Linked DNA regions of Schizosaccharomyces pombe. The protein of the gene in region 4 binds, or shares a complex with, the protein of the main gene of each other region. Each region holds a gene or a part of one and is shown on either strand. Other genes may lie near its edges.

Region 1 (3,807 bases), on a different chromosome or scaffold from region 4:
CCTGCCTTTTCAACGCGTTCAACACCGCATCTCAACTTTGGATGCTCAACCTACTGGTACTACTGGATCCGTAATCGTTATGGTTACAGGTGAGCTTTTGGTAAGTTATAAGATTGATGTTACTTATTCTATTCATTTTTTTTTTTTTTGCTTTGCTCTTTTTTTAACCTTTTTGTAGTTGGATGAAGAGCAAATGGCCCAGCGCTATAGCCAAGTTTTTCACCTTGTTAACAATAATGGTAACTACTATGTCTTAAATGACCTGTTTCGTTTGAACTATGGTTGAAGAATATCATAGTGAAAATATTTAATACAAGTATCTTGATTATCTGCAATTTCATTTTCTTTTTTTTTATGCTTTTGTAGCGATTACCGGATTTTCAAACTACAACCTGTAGCAGATATAGCTTTTTGAACCCATCGCTTGTTTAGTTCGTTAAAACAAATTTTCGAATTGAACTCTACCTAAAAGTTTACATTAAGACTTAGTCTAATTTCGAAGTTTTACGCTAAATGAAAATTTAATCTCAAAGCGAATGTTAGTTCACTTGTCTAAAATTATAAATTAAAACCAAAAATTTATAAAGTAATATCTCCTTTTTTACAATTTGGTTATGATCTAGCTGGTAAATATGAAATAATTTAAGAAAGGAAACCAAGCAAGGTCGGCCATTCAATGTATCTGTTACATTAAAATTGAACTAAGTAAATCACAATTTTTCAGGTTTTCTGTCACAAGTTAGTATCATATATTCATGAGGCCGAAAGCATCTCTGAACTTACTTTTCTAAAGAAACGACAGATATGCATTTAAATAAATTTGCATAGGACGCTTTCCATAAACGAACGCACCCATCATCGCCCGAGCTGCTCAAAATAGTTCCTGTCACATTAAAACGGCATCTCCACACTTGACATTTATGGTTATCATATTCACCAATGAGTTCCACCTTCAAAGAATTTAGATTGAAATTTGAGTCTTCTGTCATTGAATTTCCAGCATCTTCTTCCTCTTGAAATACTTCTTCGCAAAGGGTTTCAACTTTAAAAATACGAACATTCCCATCTTTGCATGCAGTAGCTATCAGGTAATAACTACTGCCCATACTCGGAGCCCAGCAAATATCACGAATAAGATCTGTATGTCCGGGTAACTCAGCAACTTTTTTCCATTTTCCATGAGAGTTCTGCTTGTAAATGTAAGCATCATTCATGCATCCAACAGCAATGTACTGTTCTCGCCAACGTGATGGGCACCAATTTACACAAAACGCTGGTTGCTCGTTGCGCGAAGGAGGGGACGGCATTAAAGCAATTTCATTCATTAAAGTCCAATACGTTAAATTACCGGGTTCCATGGCCTCATAAATCCGTAAAGTAGCATCCGCCGAAACTGCTGCTAATTTGCAACCATGTTGAAAAGGGCAAAATGATATGTCTAATACGGCGCTACGAGCATCCATTAATTTTGCAACTTCAACCCATGTCTTGGATTCAAAGTTCTTTTTTTGTTCCTCATAGATCCGAACCCCTCTGTCTAAACTGCAGACAGCTAGCACTTGACCAAATGAAGGATGAGCCCAAGCAACCCTCATTAGACTAGCATCTCCTGCCCTCCATTCAGAAGTGATTGCCCATGTTTCAGTATCATCATTAAAATCGTAAACCTTGACTCGTTGATCAGCTGAACATGATACCATTCGACGGCCATAAAAGTCTTGACAATTAGCTACAAAATCTAAAATAATATTTCCTTACCGTATGTAACATCATTCACTAAATCTTGGTGATTTGTTTGAATCGTAGTAGCCGAAATATCATCCATGTTGGTAGAGACGAGGTGAGCTAGTAAAGAAGGGCCAAAAGATTTTATATGTAAATTATCGGTATCAGCGCAAAAAAAAAGAGGGTAAGTCTAGAAAAAATGAAAGAAGTAAATTTTTTGTAAAGAAGACTTTTCGCATGCTTAACTTTCGGTCCGACAAGTTAACTCATCGAAGGCGACAATCATAGTAAAGAATATACAAAACGACTAAAATAGTCAGCAAATATCTACTGCACATAATCTTCACTCAGTTCATTCTTAATAGATGGTAATAACAAATTTGTATACCACATTGACGTTATTTCACCTGAAGTGATTTGGTAAGCCAAAACGATAATAATCTAATATGTTCATTGACGTTTAAAAAATGAAATGAAAGTTTCAAGTACTATACAAATAGTCTTCCGGACTACTAAATTATTTAGTTGTTAGTGGTATGTATACCTCAGTCAATAGTTAGTTATTAATTACCTTCATTTACAAATATGAAATTATGTGCTTTTTTTAATGGTTTCAGTATAGTTAAAAGTATTATTGATATTTTGTTTAAGGTACAAAATCTTTTGATAAAATTATTGATTTAATTAATGCAAAACTGAAGTAGGTAATTTGAAAATATTAGTCCCCCATTAAAAAATATGCATATATAATGTTAATACTTTTTTTGTAAAATAAGAACTTCACAATAAAATGCTGAGGAGCCGTAATCAAAATTAGCAAAAAAATTCATAAAAACATTTTATTTGATTTTGCAAAGAGACAAACGATAGTAGTAACATTGATATCATTAAAGTGTTGGTTTTTTGAATTTATAAGCTTGTCTATTTATTAAATGCAGTCAGTGTTTAACAAAATAGTGACACTACCAGTCAATTCTTTTCAGTTTTGTATTTGCAGATTATCACAGATTTCAAAATGACTTTTGTGACCCATAATATGTTCTTGTCTCATGTGTGTTATTATACTACAATACTTCAGGACTTAATAGGCAAGTCATGTACAAGTAATAATGATTGTAATTGCACGTCAGTGCCACAAGTATAGTATATCTTTTAAATGGGAAATTTTTCAATTTTTTTTATTTTTTATACACTGAATGTCAATTGGCAATGCCATTTTGACTCTACGGAATTTTGATTATATTGAGTATTGTAAAACGACCCTTTTCTAAAAATAAAAAACAAAGCCTATCCCTTACTCGCTAATCTGAGTTAGTTCGATCAAGGCCAGAAATGGAACAAATCAGGCCGTTCTCGGATAACTACTTGGATCGTCTACGTACAGTTGAAGAGGATGATTATAATGACTGGGAGGGTTCATCTGATACAAAAACGTTATACTCAAGCGTATCAGACAGCAAAATAGGGCATAAAAAAAGTTTTCATAAGGATGGCAAAGGCTTATTTAAGACATTGCGAAATTTTTTGAGTTTGAAAACTAATAAGGTACCTAAAAACAGAAAGTTTTCATTACTAAAGGGTTCTAAATGTAACAATGTGGAAATTAAGGTGTTTATAAGGAATAATGATAAACAATCAAACGGTGCGTCAAAAATAGGATAATGACACTTTGTTTTCTTAAATTTTAACAGCTGTAGTTCATAATTTTAAAGGAAAAGATTCAATTCATGAAGCATGGAGCCAATATTTAATTTTTGATAGCATGGGCTTGAGTCCCCTTATACACATATCTGGAGAAGATAAATACAAAGTTCTTTGCTTATTTAGTATATGGAGAAGAAAACTTGGCAAATGCTCAATTTTTACTGTCCATGACCCCGATATCCAAAAGAAAATAAAAAGCATACTGTCATACTTATGGGAACTTAGTAATACAAATGACCCTCCTCATGTTATCGTGTGGCATACCGCAAAAGGCACTAATGTCATGACAATGGGACCTTTGGGACTAAAAGATGAAGATCTTTGGAATTATGCCAACGAAAGATCCAACCTTAATGGTACTACTTGACACCACTGCAA
Region 2 (5,925 bases), 3.0 Mb from region 4:
AAATAAAAGGGATTCCCTTCTCGTCACATTGCTCTTGAAGCGTGAATTGGTCGTTCGCAAGCTTTGAGCTATAAAATCGATTTTTGATTTTGAATTCATTATTTATTTTGGGAAATATTTCTTTCGTTAATGTATTCGATTTCGCATCAATTCTACATGATCGAGAATTTCTAAGCGATCCATGCGATAGCTGTCGAATTGCGATCACAGGATTTAAGAGTGTTTGAAAACAACGTTCTCGAAAGAAAAATGGTCCTTTAAACAATAAGTTTACTCGCGATTTCATAAGCATCACTGCAAAGTATTATAGCCACAAGTTAGGACTTTCTAACTTGTAAACATACAGTAACGTAATAGAAGTCAAATTGCCTACGCTCTGTTTCGTTAATTCAGTATATTCCAAATTGGTGCTTATGTTTATGAGATAGAGAAGTTAAGTACATAAATGAAATAGTCATAACTTGACGAGTGTGTCATAGACTAAAGTCAAATTCAGGGATTTACCTATTAGTTAACACCCAATCTCTAAGAGATTTATATCGGATAGATTGAATTCGAACTTACAAAACTCTCACACCCATAGCTAGTAGAGAATAAGGGGAATTTATCAAATATATCTAGAATTATTTAATGTTCTTTTTTACTTATGTTGTATGCTACTAAATTTTGTGATGATTTATAGTCAAAATTAATATCTTTGGATTATTTTTACCTTTTGGTACTCCTACTCCTTTAATTCTCTTTCAGTTTTAAATGAATAGATTTTTAGCTATTAGAGATAATTTCAACCCATTTGGTTAATTCTTCTTCTGGATATTTATTGTCGATCCTTTAATTCTAGCATAGACCGGTGGATCACATCCAGAAAATGTCTTTATCACAATTGATGCCATTGCTACAATCTTCTACTTTAGCTAATTCTTTATCGTGATACCAGTGTATGTACTACCGCTTAATTACTATAAAGTTGCGGGTGTTCGTACAAGCACATATCACCGCAATTGTAATATTGAATCAGGTATAAGAGATCTTGGCTATTAGACTTAGAATTGGTTGTATCTGCAATAAAAAAAATAAATTATAAATTGCATGCCAATGAACAATAATTCACCCTTGCACGTAATTAATATTTATTAAAATGTAATTTACAATTTAACGTATGGTTGAAAATATTACATGTTTTATTTACTAAGAATTTGCAAAATTTAAAAATAAACAAAACTAGAAAATTAGAAAACTATTTTATTAAAAAAGATTGAAAGGCTGTAAATTAAGACCCTAAAGATGAGTACTGTTAATTTAAATAGATTTAATCTCTTAAAACAACAGCTAAAAAGTTACAGGTATACAAAAAATAATAAAAAAAACTAACAATAATCTAAGAAAGGCTTCTGATATCTTGAAGATCTTTTACTGTTGTATGTAATTTCACAAATAAAATAGAGAATCCATTTAAGCTCTTGAGTTTTAAATGAATATTTGATTCCTTTTTTATTATTATGAATACAAAGGAATTGCTCGATTAATAAAAACTATCAAATTGTTTAGCTTTCTTCATCCACAATCAAATGATTCTATTTTATTAAGGAACTTAATCTTCAAGAAGAAAATTCAGTTTTACATTCCATCTCCCTCTACCCTAAAAAGCTAAAGAATTACAAATATACTCGTATTTACGCGTTTCTCATAAATTCGTTGTAGGACTGGCCTGTCTTACGCTAACTCGTGTAGGTCGTTGTCTACGATACTCAACCAGAACTGCCCCCTATTGTTAGCTATTTGTTTGGTATTTCTACTGGTATTACCGCTACCAGTAAAAAATAAAATCAAAATATGAATGAATTAAAGCATGCGGTAGTTCCGATAGACTTACAATCTTTTTGTCTGGAAGGAACTTTGGCGTTGTGGGTTCCAGCTCTCGAAAACGACTCGGAAGACGATTCTGAAGCTATAGAAACAGCTGATGATAATGAAAAACTTTTTAAAAAGGAATGTGTAGCATATGATGCAGGTGTTTATACCTCAAATAAAAGCAAAGGTTCACAAACTTTACGATGGAGTATATTCCAAAACAGAACACTCACTATCTTTGATGTTTCATTAAATTCTAAGAAGGAGCCTTTATCAAAATTTAATGTGAAAATTCATTTTCCATCCAACGTAATGAAGGACGGTGTAGCTTTCTCGTTCAGTGAGCATTCCGACACGACCATTATATATGCTATTACTCACGCTCGCGTTTTGTATTATATTAGATTATCTAAAACTTGGTTCCAATTACCGGACGCTCGCTTAGACGACGATTGGTGTCTTTGTTACCGACCAATATCCTTTCTGAATCAAAAACCCGATTTAATGGCCGCAATTAGCACGTCTGAAATTTGTGTAAGCTTTTTCAATGGAGGTTTAACAAAGATTATATTAAATCCAAAAGACGCTAGTCACTACGAACAGCATATTGATGATTCTAGTTATTTGTTTTCCCTAAAAAAATATCTATCACTTCAGGCATTTAAGGCAGATTACCGCTCTCCTAATACTATTATTTCAATGATTTTTTTGTCTACCTATAATGTTCTTGTGATGCTATCGCTTGACTATAAGTTAAAAGTTTTGGATTTGTCTACTAATCAATGCGTCGAAACCATTGAACTGTCACAGACTATACTTCCTCTACAATCCTTTCCTTATTTAACTTCAGATCACACCACTAATTCTTTCATCGCTCTGTATTACCCAGATAATTCTCATGGCTCTTTTTCAATTTACAAACTTAACGCAAACGCCCACTCTTTTAAATTAAATGTTGTCATCGAGAAGGGCATAATTCCTCCTTCTTTACCAGACGATGAGTTCATACCATGGATGCTTTCTGATTTTCAACTGATATCGTCAGAGGGCTCTCAATCTAAATTTTTGCTCATTATTGCTTGGAAAAGCAACTTAAATACCGTTATCCAAAAATGCAACCTTAGTCTAGATCAGGACGAGAGTTTTTCATGCGTTTGGAGTCACTCTTTGGATAGCTTTTCCCTCATAGAAAAAACCTTTTTTGACGTTCCAACAAACATGTCGTCTGGGGATATCTCAGAGATTTGGCTACAACACATTTTTGCACATAATACATCTATTGAGTCTATACAAGTTGCTCTTTTAAGCTTTCAAAACAGCTCCTCGCAAGTTTCAAAAAATAAACTGGATAAATTTGGCGCACTTACTATAAGTGAACTTAAAAATGCCGTTTTGTCGTCTATAGTTTCAACGATCCAAATAGAGCCAAATTCAGATTTAACTGGATACGATTATTATGAATATAAGCGGCTATTATATAATGAATGGGAAAGGTTTGCGAAACTTGTTGCATATCTGGATCATTTTGGAGATGAAATATTAAGTATTAACTTCGATCCTTCGAACGCTGTTACATATATCAATTATGCAAATAAAGTGGCTTTTATTAGGGATCCTTATCTCATTGAATCCTTTGACGAAGAGCCGTTGACCAAATTAATTAGTTCCCTTGAAACAGATGATCCTTCTCTAATTGAAGGTTATCAAATTCTGGATCTTGGTAGGAGTTTACATTCCTGTATGTCATTTTCTACTTTATCTGAAATTAGATACTCATTACGAGAACTAGTCCAGGATTTGCCATCTTATTCTTTATTTGATACATTGTGGGTATTTTATGACAAGCACATATATCCCAACGTCGATCCAGATTATATCAGTACTTTAATTGATACTCTAGTTTCTCTTGAAAACCCGATGCGCGACATTGATTCTCTTATCCAACGCTTAAGAAGTTTCGATATTTACAACCATTCCGCTCAATCCCCTTCCTTATTTTTGTGTGCATCGGTAGCACGGGTTTTGGACAGTATTTTGAAAAAGTTTCAAGTCTCTATTGAAGGATTTATTTTTCTACTTTCTTTGATAACTAGCCAGCAGGATTATGAGTTACAATCCAAATTTGCAGGATGTGATAAATTATTTCTTTCTTTACTAGAAGATTGGCGTCTTGTGAGTTTTCTTTTAGAGAATTCTGCACTTTTGCTAGAAAAATTTGAGGAGGAGGATGTTGATTCAACAAACTGTAATTTAAATACTATGGAAGCTTTAGCAAGTGTTAACACAGCCCTTCAGTTTTTTTCCGCTTTGAATTATTCCGAATGTTTCTCAGAAAGCCAAATTTCACCTTTACATGCTACCGTGATATCGTCTTTGTCGGCAATCTTTATAAGGGACGATACGGAAAATGATCTGGTCACTGAACTTGTAGAAAAGTTGTTTCTATTCAAACAATATAATGCATGTATGCAATTAATAGGGTGGCTTAACTCTGACCCAATTGCAGTCTACTTGAAAGCACTTATTTATCTCAAATCGAAAGAAGCTGTTAAGGCTGTCCGATGTTTCAAGACTACTTCTCTAGTCCTTTACTCACATACTTCTCAATTCGCAGTTTTACGGGAGTTTCAAGAAATTGCTGAAAAATACCACCATCAGAACCTATTATCGTGTTATTACCTTCATCTATCAAAAAAGCTGTTCGAGGAGAGTGCATATATAGATGCATTAGAATTTTCTTTATTAGCAGATGCCTCGAAAGAGACTGACGACGAAGATTTGTCTATTGCAATTACCCATGAGACTTTAAAAACCGCTTGTGCAGCAGGAAAGTTTGACGCTGCTCACGTTGCATTGATGGTTTTATCCACTACGCCTTTGAAAAAGTCATGTTTACTAGACTTTGTAAATCAATTAACGAAACAAGGTAAAATAAATCAGCTTCTAAATTATTCAATGCCAACGTTAAGACAGGACGTCGACAATTTGCTTGAGCGAAAGGCCTTTCAAATGATTAACGTTGAATCACAACCATGCTGGTATAATATTTTGTTTAGTTGGCGGTATAAACATCAAAACTATCGAGACGCAGCAGCAATTATTTATGAAAAACTGAGCCGGTATATCTCTACTACAGAATTAATTGGAAAAAAGGAGAGAACTTTTATAATAGAACATTATTTGATTGTTTTGAACACTCTGGAGTTGCTTCCGAAAGAAGATACATGGATTCTTGTGACAGACATGTCCGTGGACAAGGAACCTGACCCTAACTTTCTTCCACAAAAATTACTTACTCTAGATGCAATTGTAGCAGAATATCACTTACAGTTGAAGGATGTCGCTGTTCAAGTTACAGCTGAAATGTCATCGGCCATGAATATCGATTTATAAAGGCAACAAAGAATTATTTACGCAGCTTAACCTTCTCATTTAGAAAAATCCAGAAAAAAAGCAATATGCTTGGCAGAGTTTTAGTAATTAAATCATCTTTAGTTTCATTGAGGCGATGGGTAGCCATAAATAACTAACTTCTTTCTATAAAATTAAATTCTGAATATAAATATACTTTCGATAGCATTGGTATTTACATATCTTTAACGAATTATAATTCCGACCTTTTTGCTGCAGCTTGCCGCAGTTTGCTAATTAGTGTTGTCCGTTGGGAAATATTGTTGAGATACGGCTAGTATCGGCAGAATGTTGGAACCAACAATAATTATATATTTGAATTTTTATTTCCTTATTTTATAACATTTTTTTGAAACTTTTGGTTTCAGATTAAATAATTCTCTATTAATAATAGTGTACGGAAATTGCACGCCGTGTGCCCGAATTTAAATTTGTCGGGTCCCGAAGGAATGTACAAAACACCAAGACCTGCGAAAACTGATTCTCAGTGAATTGGGTATATCGGTCTTGTAAAGATCTAATTAATGAACGTTTACCAATGTTATTGAACTGAAAATATCGTTATGAGGATTTTTACTCTTGGAAAAGGCCGAATTTCACGAGGGTATGCTCGGCAAGTTAACCCTTCATTATTTGCCAAGTACAGCTACTGTATTGCCAATA
Region 3 (5,268 bases), 530 kb from region 4:
CCCAAAGCCCATGGATAGCTCCCATATAAAAGTTACTAATGTTAAGGAGCTTAAACCTTTGCCCGAATGGAAGAGTTTGAAGTTTGGTGAGAATTTTACTGATCATATGCTTATTATGAAATGGAACAGAGAAAAGGGTTGGAGTACTCCTGAGATCGTTCCATTTGGTAAACTTTGCTTTCACCCTGCTTCCTCCGTTTTCCATTATGGTTTTGAGTGCTTTGAAGGCATGAAAGCTTTCCGTGACGAAAAGGGTGTCCCACGTCTTTTCCGTCCCATCAAGAATGCTGAGCGTATGCTTTCAACTGGTACTCGTATATCTCTTCCTTCCTTCGACCCTGCTGAGCTTGCTGAAATTATCAGAAAGTTCGTCGCTCACGAAAACCGTTGGGTCCCTGATCAGCGTGGTTACTCTTTGTACATTCGTCCTACTTTCATTGGTACTGATGAAGCCTTAGGTGTCCACCATTGTGACAACGCTATGCTTTATGTTATTGCCTCTCCCGTTGGCCCCTACTACAGCTCTGGTTTCAAGGCCGTTAAGCTTTGTTGCTCCGAAGAATCCGTTCGTGCTTGGCCTGGCGGTACTGGTCACTACAAGCTTGGTGGTAACTATGCTCCTAGTGTTTTGCCTCAAAAAGAGGCTGCCAAGAAGGGGTATGCTCAGATTCTCTGGCTTTATGGAGACGAGGACTACATTACTGAGGTTGGTACTATGAACTGCTTTACTGTTTGGATTAACAAGAATGGCGAAAAAGAAATCATTACTGCCCCTCTTGACGGTATGATCTTACCTGGTGTCACTCGTGATTCTATTTTGGAAATTTGCCGTGAACGTCTCGCACCTAAAGGCTGGAAGATTACTGAGGGCAAGTATTCCATGAAAGAGGTTGCTCAAGCTTCTAAGGAAGGTCGCCTTTTGGAAGTCTTTGGAGCTGGTACTGCTGCCCTTGTTTCCCCCGTCAAGGCTATTAACTACAAGGGTACTGAGTATGAAATTCCCATGCCTGAGGGTCAGGAAGCTGGTCCCATCACTTCTGAAATCAGCAAATGGATTTTGGATATCCAATACGGCAAGGAACCTAACAACCCTTGGAGCGTTCCTGCTTTGCCTTAAATTTAATTCTCAAAAAATACCTAACTATGTCTGTCTTTAGACATTTATGATATTAGGTGTCCATAATTATTACATATAGACCTTTCGAGGGTTAATCCCTTTTATCTTTGTTGGTTTCTCTGATTCGTGTTACTTTTCCTTTTCAATTCTTTTATTGATAACATTACAGAAGGATAGTCTTCTTGTATATAAATTTGTAAATCAATCGGAGTATTTATGAATTGTTCAATACTAGCGTAAACATCAATTAGTGTTATTCTACAGATATATTAAATTTATTCAATACACATCGTTTATTATTCATTTAGGCTAGTAAAGTGTAAAAATGTAATAGTAAATAAAATTATCTAAGCTACATGGTAAATGAGAGAAAAGTAATTGATTGGGCTCGACATTTGATCGTGGAAACAGTTAGTTCCATTCTACTAGTGTGCAGAGTTGACAAGAAAATTCATGGACTTAATAAATTTTATGTCTTTTCTCGAAATAAAGAAGTAGTAGATAAACAAATGAATATAAATATGTAAAAAAAAGAAAATAGTATGCATATAACTGAAATATAGCATTAGAATTGGTCTGTTGAAATTACATTGCTTGGATGGCTTGTTGCTGCTATAGTACGATCTTAACCCATACGAGGTTGGATTTCAAAACCATGCATCAGAATGCATTGAATAATGCTACTCTGAATGTCCTTGGACACAAAAAAAATGGAGTAAGTTAATAATAAGATTTTAACCCTTATTGTCAATTTCTACTGCTTGGAACACAGAAGTACTAACATACGAAGAGTTCTAGTATTCAAGAACTAATTGAAATGGACGAAGAAGAGGCCGAGGTTTGTTATTAAATAAATTTAACATTATTTTAACCATTTAGATGAATCAAAATGTCGTTTGCATAGGCCCAAATGGTATAAAGCTTATCACGTACAAGTAAAGTATATATCTAACTATGGTACAGAAACCGCCGTAAGCGTTGAACTTGGAGACGAATACGAAAAGTTTAATATAATCACTTCTTTAAAGAAAGACAATTTATTCTCAAAGGATGGGCTGCTATATGCATACTATGAGTTGTGTCAGGAAAAGTATGGTTACCGTTCTGTACTTTGACTTGAATGAACACTTGTATTAACATAAATAGATTTGAAAAATGTTTGAAAGAAGATGATGAAGAATGGATAGAGTTATGGGATTTAGAATCTCGTACATGGGACCTAATACAACGTCTTTACTCGTATGTTCGTTTCGCTGCCATTCGTTTAACTTGGTTTTTAACAACTTTTACTAGGTTTCGATTATCTGAACAACAAGGGCATATTCAGTCGCATGCCTTTTCGTCTCGTGCCGTTTTAGAAGAGGAATATTACTCTCAAAATCCCGAGGCATTCGAGAATAATGTACGTATTTTTTTTATTATATGTTTGTTAATATTCTATAGATCGTATTCAATTGGGCTCGTGATAATTCCTCCGATCCTCCTTCAATTGAAATTCGAGGAAACCGATGGTTTTATACAAGAGAGGATATAAAAATGAAAAACCGAGGTGGTTCTAGGTTTTCTTCCAACATCTCAGGTACGATTGTTTCCAATCTCGATCCTGATGCAGATATACGAGACGACAAACGTTTAGACGAACGAGATGATAACTTTGAACGCCAGTTTTTTCATACTGCATTCTGCTTATTTCGTTCGGGAAGCTTTGAAGAACTATTAGAGCTGTGTAGGAGAACTGGTAATCATTGGCGTTCTGCTTCACTTCAAGGAATTTTGGAGTATAGAGATAACCTCATCGACGATGTTTTGCAATCCGAGACTTCCGGTAATAAAAGAAAGGAACTCTTGCGCAGATCATGTTTAGCACTTACAAAAAATAAACGGATAGACTCTTATGAACGCGCTCTTTATGGCGCTTTATGTGGAGACTTGAACTCCGTCCTTGATGTGTGCACAACTTGGGAGGATGCGATGTGGGCTTATTATAATAGTATGACTCAGTACAATTTGGATGTTTATCTTTCTTCTAAGGCTCCTCAAACAGAAACACAATTGCCTCCAGTGGATAGTGGTTTAGGCTTAACTCCCGAATTGATTTTTAATTCGCTGAGTAACAGCTCTATTGCTTCAATCCAAGAAGAAGCATCACATCCCCTAATTAAACTTCAAACTCATATCATTTGTAATAAAATTTCGGAAATTTTGAGCTCTGCTCACATACAGTTGGAAGCAATTCGGACTGGAAATGCCCCTGAGTCTGGGGATTTGGTTACACCTCCTCTTCTTCGAATACTGACACACATAATTTTATTTTTGAAGATTTCAGGTCTTGCTGTGGATGAATATACTTCTGACTCTATTATCCAAGCGTATATTGAGTTATTGGCTAGTGCTAAAAAAGTTAACTTGGTTCCATTGTATATTCAGTACCTATCAAATCAAGTGCAGTACGAGGCTTATTCTCGATTCCTTATTCTTGTTGATGAAGAAAGTGCAAGATCAGAACAACTTCAATTAGCAAAAAAATATTCATTAGATATTAATCATGCGGCGTTACTAGCTGTTGAATATGTGTATGATGAAGTTGTCTCTGTTTCTCCCGAAGAAGTTCACACAGTATATTTAAAATCTATTGAGGAGCCAGTTGAACCATCTTATAAAAAGCTCATCTGCACCCTTGAATGGTTATTAATCACTTCACAGACAGATGAGCTGCTCCGATTTGCAAACCTTGTATATCGTTTCTTTTTAAGCATTGGCGAGCTAAATAGTGCATACGATCTTTATACACATATTCCCTCTGATGCTTTGAATACGCTAAGCTCTAGCGATGGTGAACCCGAAAACGATTCTAAGTTTAGAGATGCGTATGAACTGATGAACTATCGAGCTCTCTGCAGAGCACTTAAATTTTATCAAGAATGGGAAGAGCTTTCTAAACAAGAAGTATTTGAAGATTCTGCAGTTACGAAAGCTAGCACTTCTTATAAAGTTTGGAAAAAAAAATTGAATTTTGCCTCTCGTAAATGTGTAAAGTCCTTCACAGACTTACTTCAAGCTAACTGGCTTCACCCGTCTACATTGGAGCTGAAACCAGATGATGATCCTTTGCTTTATAAAACTCTTATGACTATTCGGAATTTGTATGTGCCTGAACTAATTCTCGGTTTGCATAATGTTTATTTTAGCCTTGAGGACTATGATAGCTGTTTTGCTCTGGCTAACGAAGTTGCCAGTGAAGATTTAAAACTTTACCATTGTCTTATTAAAAGTGGCAGACTGGTTGAATATGTTTCTTATTTAGGAAAGGCCGGAGAATGTAGCCTTTCAACCCCTAATGGGCTTTTTTCTTTATAAGTGTCAATGTATAAGAGATTCAATTCGAAAACTAATAGTGATGCTGCAAATGTGGTATCATCTTCGCATTGATAACCAGTTTATCTTAATACGTTGATTTTAAAACTAAGCTGAAAAACTTCCATAACTTTTGACTATTTCTAATATAAATTTTTTTTTCCAAAAAGTTAGACTATGAACTAAATCCAGAATTGCAGACACTTTGTTGCAAACATTCTTATAAAATTGTTTGAAAGTTCGGTTAATTAGGACCATTGCGCAAGTTCTTAAATCCTATAGTCGATTTGAGCAGTCTTTACAAATTTCGACTCGAAAACTGTGTTAGTGGATATATTGTGTAGGGTTTACTTTTATACTCAAAAAAACATTAAAGTAAGCAAATAGAAATATTTGAGTTCTTGACACCAATCTTCACTTAGTAAGAACCCATCGTATACAAGCTATTTCTACTACCACTGAATGTTCACGTTCAGTGCAATTTGCTTGAGGGAGCTTGATGGAAAAAGCGTCTAAAAATAAGGAAAGTGGGGTTAAAAAAGCGAATAACTCTTTTTTACAAAATTTCGGTGTAAATACAGCAGGGAAAGAAAATGAATCTACTTCATTACCAAGGTTGCCCAAAAGCGAAGATGAATCCATCCCAAAACAATCTATAAAATCTAAGAATAAAAAGAAAACCCAACATTTTCTTTCTGATGCTTTTGAAAGCTTAAAGAGACAGGAGATAGATACAAACGAAAAGGAAGTAATCGTCTCCGCGCCTATAACTAGTAAACCAGCTCAGGTTTTTTATA
Region 4 (6,086 bases):
TCAGAAGTTTGTTTGTCAAGTTCTTGAATGACTTCTTGAGGCTTTACCAATTCACCAGGAGCGCTACGAGTGAAAGTGAAAGGGAAGCGTTCCTTCCATGTTTGAATTTGAGATAACCAGTCAAATCGGGAAGGAATTTTAATATTTTTAGTAGCAGAATCTAAAAGCTTTAGAGATTCGTATACATCGCCCTCTATTGCTTCAGTAGGTTGTACGACCTTACCGATATTTTTGGGTGAAATATCAAAGTGAATAATACCGCCACGCTCTTCGGCAGCAGCAAGACGTGCTTGAGGAGCAAACAAACTTACGTTACCGGTGACACGGTCGTCAAAGCGAACACCAAGAGCAAGGATAAGATCGGCTTCCTGCATGGCCATATTAGCGTATCCACTACCATGCATACCGAGCATATGCAAACTAAGGTCAGAACGTTCATCTACAGCACCAAGTCCAAGCAAAGAAGTAGTAACAGGAATTTGCAGCCTTTCGCTAAACTTGCGTAACAAAGTGGGGCATTCGGGATTAGCTAAAACACCATGCCCACAGAAAATCACAGGCTTCTTGGCTAATTTTAGTAAATTGGCAACACGATCGATCTTGGCAGTAACGTTCTTGGAGCCCTCTTCTAAGACTTCCTTCATTCTGCGATTCATTGATGGTACAGAAGACAGTATAGGAATGGGCTCCTTCAAAACGCTAGCAGTGACATCTTTGGGAAGGTCAACCAATACAGGGCCAGGGCGTCCAGAAGTAGCTATCTCAAAAGCTTCGTCTATACGACGGGGAAGATCAGCAACATCTTTGACCATTACATTCCATTTAGTACATGAACGAGAAATACCAACCATGTCAGCTTCTTGAAATGCATCACTACCAATTGCGCTGGTTGCTACTTGACCAGAGAATACAACTAGGGGAGTACCGTCGGCCAATGCATCAGCAATCGGGGTAATCACATTCGTAGCACCGGGTCCAGAAGTAACCAATACAACGCCGGGTTTTTTAGTAACGCGGGAATAAGCTTGGGCTGCATGTCCAGCAGCTTGCTCGTGTCTTGGCAAGATAAATTCAAAATGAGGAGATCTATAAATTGCATCGAAGACAGGCAAGATAGCACCACCTGGATAACCAAATACATGCTTAACATTATGCTTGAGCATCATATCATGGAAAATTTCACCCCCAGTCTTTCCAACAAACGAGCTGTCATATTTTATAGGACTAGCCGTAGTCACTGTAGAGGTGCTTTTGGTCGAATTTGCCCGAACGACACCGAATGCATTTTTTAATTTTTTAATTCTCAAATTATTACTAAAGCCGGTGCCATACCTCCGCACAGCTGAGCAACTATTTAAATTTAAAAATCTCTTTTGAAGGGCAATTTCTCGTCCATAAGACGAGAAAGCCGCCCTCGTATGCAATCTTCTAAGGGGAGCCAGCACAGTCATTATAAATAACTTTTAACCCTCAATTCCTTTCTAGAAAGAGCTATCTTTCAAGTTGCAAAAGATCGGTATGCTGAGCGGTATGAGAAGTGAGCAGGTTCATTTTTGCCTAAAAACATTGGTTGTTCACCACCACAAAAAAGATCAGATTTGTTAACGATAAGTACTGTACCCCGGAGATTAAATATACCGATGCATAATACTATACCCTTTGAAGTCGTGTTATTATTCTTTAAAAAGTTCAGATGATGTAGGAATACAATTTATCTATTTATCCATGTCTCCTTAATTTTTTAAACATTAGTAAATGCTGGAAAACGTCAAATAAATTTTTCTTGATCCTAAATTATAAGTTTCCTATCGATTCAGCTTAGAAAATCGTCAGAATTATCTTTGAGCATAATCTGTTTAACACGTAAGAGATCTTAGATACTTTCGCTTTTTTAAACATTAGTGAGCCTCTTATTAGAGGAATTGCAATGTTTATTGTACATCGACGGTTTTTTCAAAATGAAAAAGCTTTTACGCCTGCAGGAAAACATGAAAAAGTTGCCGACGGAAACAAACATGAGACATTAGCTACTTCAGAATACCCGAAAGTCTGTGCATCAAATGACTTGTACAAAATACTCCAAATATCTGCTCCTAAGGTTGGCAATTTTACAATCCATGATGCGCCAGTTGTTGGACTAATTGACTCTATTTTGGAATATTATTTGTATATTAGTGTCAAAGTTCGAAAGGCATGGATTGCTGGTTATGGAAGTCAGCCCCAAAACTTAATATGCTTTGATTGGGAACGTTTTACGGGTATTCTAGATCAGCAGAGTCTAAATAGCCCACCGTTAGCTGGATTTGTTAAGCCAGATCCAACATCAGCAGAGCCTGGCTTTTTACTTTTGTGGCCTGCTTCGGGCGACCTTTTCTACTGGGAAAGAACTTCTTTGATGAACGTTGAGGTTTCTGCTCCCGAATTTCCTGGTTTTCTTCATTACAGGATTCAACTAAAACGATATGAAAGCTGTAAAAATTTGGTTAGTGCTGAGCCTGCTGGCTTTTTCCTTACTCTGAGTTCAGGTCGGTTGCTTCATCTGAATTTAAAAGATAGCGATGGCAATTCCTCTATTCAGGTTCGAATCCTATTTCCTGGATTGCACATCCCCAACTGCTTGCTGTCGTTATACAACAGTATCTTTGCATTTACTTCAGGAAGAGTTATTCCAATACGTTGTGGTTCAATAAAAGGACCTGGTGAGAGATTAGTTTATTCTATGCATTCTGGAAGCACATTGCGAATTTGGGAAATATTCGGGACTGGTGATCACCACTTGTTACGTGGTTTTGACATTTATGATATAATTTTAGATAGTATTCAGGAATCCTTTTCCTACGTAAATCGATTTCTAATCCTTGATTTTTCTGTTTCAACCTCGGATCCTTATACGTTAGCTTGTTTGGTTTCCTGGCGTGATAATGCTTCATTATTCAATTATGCTGCAATCATTATTTCTTTCAACCATCAGATGATACCTCATGTTTCACAATTCTGCCATGTACGCTCATATCTTTCTGCAATTCTTCCATCAGTGTGTCGAATATTTTTACCAAGTCCAGGTACAGTTGTTTTTTGCGTCTTCGATGTCACTTTTGCTATGTTTCATAAAGTGCGAGGGAAAGAAGGCACTTTTTATGTCGAAGAAAACCTGGTTGTGAACAACCTAACTTCCAAATCTCGGGTTTTGGATTTTGGCATGGAAGATGCGATATATGAAAAATCTACGCACACCTTACTAAAAACTCCAGCATTGATCTTGTTAACAGAAGGGCATGGTATAATCCGAATTGAATCTTCTGCTAGCTACCTGAAAACCAGCTTTAGTGCAACCACCTATTTACGAAGTCGTCTCTCCCAGTTTGCATCGCAAAGCCCTTTGTTCCGTGTAAGTTGTTAATTCTTTCGTATCTAACATATAGGAACAATTTTTGTTAAATTTTGACTTTACATACAACCTCTCTGAAAGCGAAGTCTATAATACAGTCTTTAATCTTTGTGATGAACTTTATACGAGTAAGATAATTTTTTCATGATATATTACTAATTGCAATCAGCGCCATGTAAAAAAAATATGTCTGTATTAGAAACACTACATTCTCAGCAACGTGACTTGATGGAAATAGTTCTTGTTGCCTTCAAATACCTACATTTATCTCCTTCTAATAGACTTCAATTATGGCTAAAAGTTGCCTATTGCAGTGCTTTGGCAGACCTATATGAATTATTGATGTGTAATGAAAAAATGTCTAACTTGCTTCGACGAGTATTGAAAATAATGTCTTCAAATGATAATATTGATGAACTTTTTTTGAAAAAGTGCCTGAATATAAATTTGTTATTACAGCATTTAAGCTCGGAATATTCTCAAATATCTGGCCAAGATGCTAGCAACGCACAAAAAAGAATTGAAGTAATAGTAAATGTTAATAACGTTTATGGGGTATGTTTCTTATAAAATAACGAGGTTTACTAATATTAGACTATCTTTGGAAATGAGCTTGCTTATAGGCAAGAAAAAATATCAAAATTTACTGATCCATCCTCTGTGATTAGAAGCGACCTTTGGACAGTTGAAGTTGATCACTTAGATTTACTACGAAAACAGATCGAAGATTCGATATCATTGCATCGCGATGTACGTGACTCGAAAGATGCACACATATTAAAAGTCAGTAACAAGCTTCGGAAGCAGATTTTGCATCTGGTGGAACAAAATTGCCTTTTGATCTTTGATTTGCACAATGGAACAGATGATACCATAGTAAAATCGCATAATTTTCAAAAATTTGAAGAAGAATTTGGCAATTCACGAAAAGAATGGTTACAATATTTAGGTAAGCTGTTTCTCACTTTCTTGTTTCCGCTAACAAAGAAGCTTCTGTCGGATATTTGGAAAAGGCAATCGACTTGGCGGAAAAAGTTAAAGACTTTCAGACAATGGTAATTTTGCTGGATTGTCTAGATCCAAAGGATCCTACCATTAAGCTTCAAAAGCAAAAAGCATGCTTAAATAAATACAAAGAAGAATTCGCAGATGTAATTTTTTTTTATTTGGTTGATACAGAGCAGTATGCGTCTTTGCTTCATGATTTCTTGGAGTATCAATCACTTTTAATATCTTTTTTTGAAGCCAATGATTTATTGAATCTTTTGTGGATATTTGAAGCTCAAAATGGAAATTATGGACGAGCCTCCGAAATTCTTTTCCGTGATTGTGAACCAGAAGAAAACAGGATTATCGGTAAAATTTCGCAGTTAGCTCTAGCAAAGCTCTACTCATGGACTAATAGAATTGAAGGTGAAAATATCATATTGTCAAATGAGACTGAGGTGATTGAAAATCATTTAGCCATTTTGCTTATTCAAGAGCAATATGCTGAAATGCTTTCATCACTTGTGGATATTACAGAAGACGAGGGAGAAGCTGTCGAAGCAATAGTAACTTCCAATTGTGTAAATCTATCAGAAAACTCTATCAGAGCCTGGCTCGTGTCTAGTGCTGTTGAGCGATTAATTCAAAACGAATACACTACGCTTTGTGAGATGGTAGATTTCTTTTCTTCTTTTTCATTACGGGAATGTTCATTCAAAGAAGTTGATTTGGCCTTAGAGTTATTAGAAAGAGCTACAATCACTAAGGACGTGTATTTTTACTTAAAAGATCTCGTATATCGCCGTTTTCTATTACAGGTGAACTGGGCAGAAATCATCGATGCGCATGAAGATTTAGAATCTTCATTTTTTCCAATGGTAAAGGAAATTATGTTAGAATCAGACTTTTTAATATGGTTACAACATATGGAACACAATATTCACGACGAAAGTAAACATTACTTGAAATCGGAAAAAAATTTTTTGCAAAGTGTATATTCTTCACTTTCTGAGTCGCAAGTGGAAGATTATCAAATGGAGCTTTTTCGTGAAAAGCAAATTTTCTCAGTACTATGTAAAGATAGAGAGTTATACATTCTGATTCCGAAACTTCTGGACGTAGCAACAAAACAATGAAATGAAATTTTGCTATATATTACTTTACATTTCCTCAGTAATCGATAAACACCTGTTTAAACCTAGTACTACTTATGTTTGTATAATCTATCGTATAGCCTCAGCTCCGACAACTCCGTTTTTACGATGGTAGATGCTAGATAATCACTGGTTAGAATATTTACGGCTTAAAATAATTAAATTTTTTTATTATAGATTCTTGATTTATTATGATGATTGCGCCTTCGGGGCTTTTTCCCTGTCCTGGATAGCCTCACCCTTACGTTGGAAATTAAGCTAAGGCCTAGTGTGTTGCATCCAAGTACACCTTACAACTAACGTCCACTAAAACACTCAAACCACATAATCATTTGTTAGTCGAAAGAAAGCCTGTAACTTCTATTAAATTATAGTAATTGGTTTTCTAAATTTTGTTGTTTTTGGTCGGCTACTGAATCGCAATTGGACTTCAATCTCTGTGGTGAATGCAGTGAAAACAAACTGAGATTTGTGTGGCATTTGTTAGTGAGGCTACAAATTGACTACATAAAAACTGCATAGTCCTTGCAATAAAAAAAATTTTATCTGTTCGGTCA

What was found.
Region 1: nup131 (region 4) and seh1 share a complex: the UniProt entries of both Schizosaccharomyces pombe proteins name them as parts of the npc107-120 complex.
Region 2: nup131 (region 4) and nup120 share a complex: the UniProt entries of both Schizosaccharomyces pombe proteins name them as parts of the npc107-120 complex.
Region 3: nup131 (region 4) and nup107 share a complex: the UniProt entries of both Schizosaccharomyces pombe proteins name them as parts of the npc107-120 complex.

Annotation. Positions count from the first base shown.
Region 1 is NC_003424.3:2,397,439-2,401,245, reverse strand, and holds seh1 (GATOR2-SEACAT complex WD repeat subunit Seh1), read right to left. Parts: upstream 1,838-3,807; 5' UTR 1,826-1,837; coding exon 1,759-1,825; exon of another isoform or gene 1,718-1,758; coding exon 784-1,717; intron 730-783; coding exon 711-729; 3' UTR 527-710; downstream 1-526. Other genes in the region: nuclear import protein Nxt2, read left to right, coding at 1-100, 179-286; glm1 (glomulin), read left to right, coding at 3,058-3,367, 3,423-3,796. UniProt on the Schizosaccharomyces pombe protein: Functions as a component of the nuclear pore complex (NPC).
Region 2 is NC_003423.3:4,014,676-4,020,600, reverse strand, and holds nup120 (nucleoporin, WD repeat Nup120), read left to right. Parts: upstream 1-1,750; 5' UTR 1,751-1,833; coding exon 1,834-5,244; 3' UTR 5,245-5,375; downstream 5,376-5,925. Other genes in the region: Fe-sulfur protein Isa2, read right to left, coding at 1-292; Sre1 cleavage-activating protein Scap Scp1, read left to right, coding at 5,826-5,925. UniProt on the Schizosaccharomyces pombe protein: Functions as a component of the nuclear pore complex (NPC).
Region 3 is NC_003423.3:438,480-443,747, reverse strand, and holds nup107 (nucleoporin Nup107), read left to right. Parts: upstream 1-1,744; 5' UTR 1,745-1,772; coding exon 1,773-1,832; intron 1,833-1,907; coding exon 1,908-1,955; intron 1,956-1,996; coding exon 1,997-2,030; intron 2,031-2,080; coding exon 2,081-2,207; intron 2,208-2,263; coding exon 2,264-2,356; intron 2,357-2,410; coding exon 2,411-2,519; intron 2,520-2,560; coding exon 2,561-4,474; 3' UTR 4,475-4,749; downstream 4,750-5,268. Other genes in the region: branched chain amino acid aminotransferase Eca39, read left to right, coding at 1-1,117; rhp1602 (DNA translocase Rhp16b), read left to right, coding at 4,971-5,268. UniProt on the Schizosaccharomyces pombe protein: Functions as a component of the nuclear pore complex (NPC).
Region 4 is NC_003423.3:972,474-978,559, reverse strand, and holds nup131 (nucleoporin, WD repeat Nup131), read left to right. Parts: upstream 1-1,713; 5' UTR 1,714-1,927; coding exon 1,928-3,388; intron 3,389-3,422; coding exon 3,423-3,516; intron 3,517-3,557; coding exon 3,558-3,943; exon of another isoform or gene 3,944-3,982; coding exon 3,983-4,337; exon of another isoform or gene 4,338-4,378; coding exon 4,379-5,511; 3' UTR 5,512-5,538; downstream 5,539-6,086. Other genes in the region: ilv1 (acetolactate synthase catalytic subunit), read right to left, coding at 1-1,451. UniProt on the Schizosaccharomyces pombe protein: Functions as a component of the nuclear pore complex (NPC).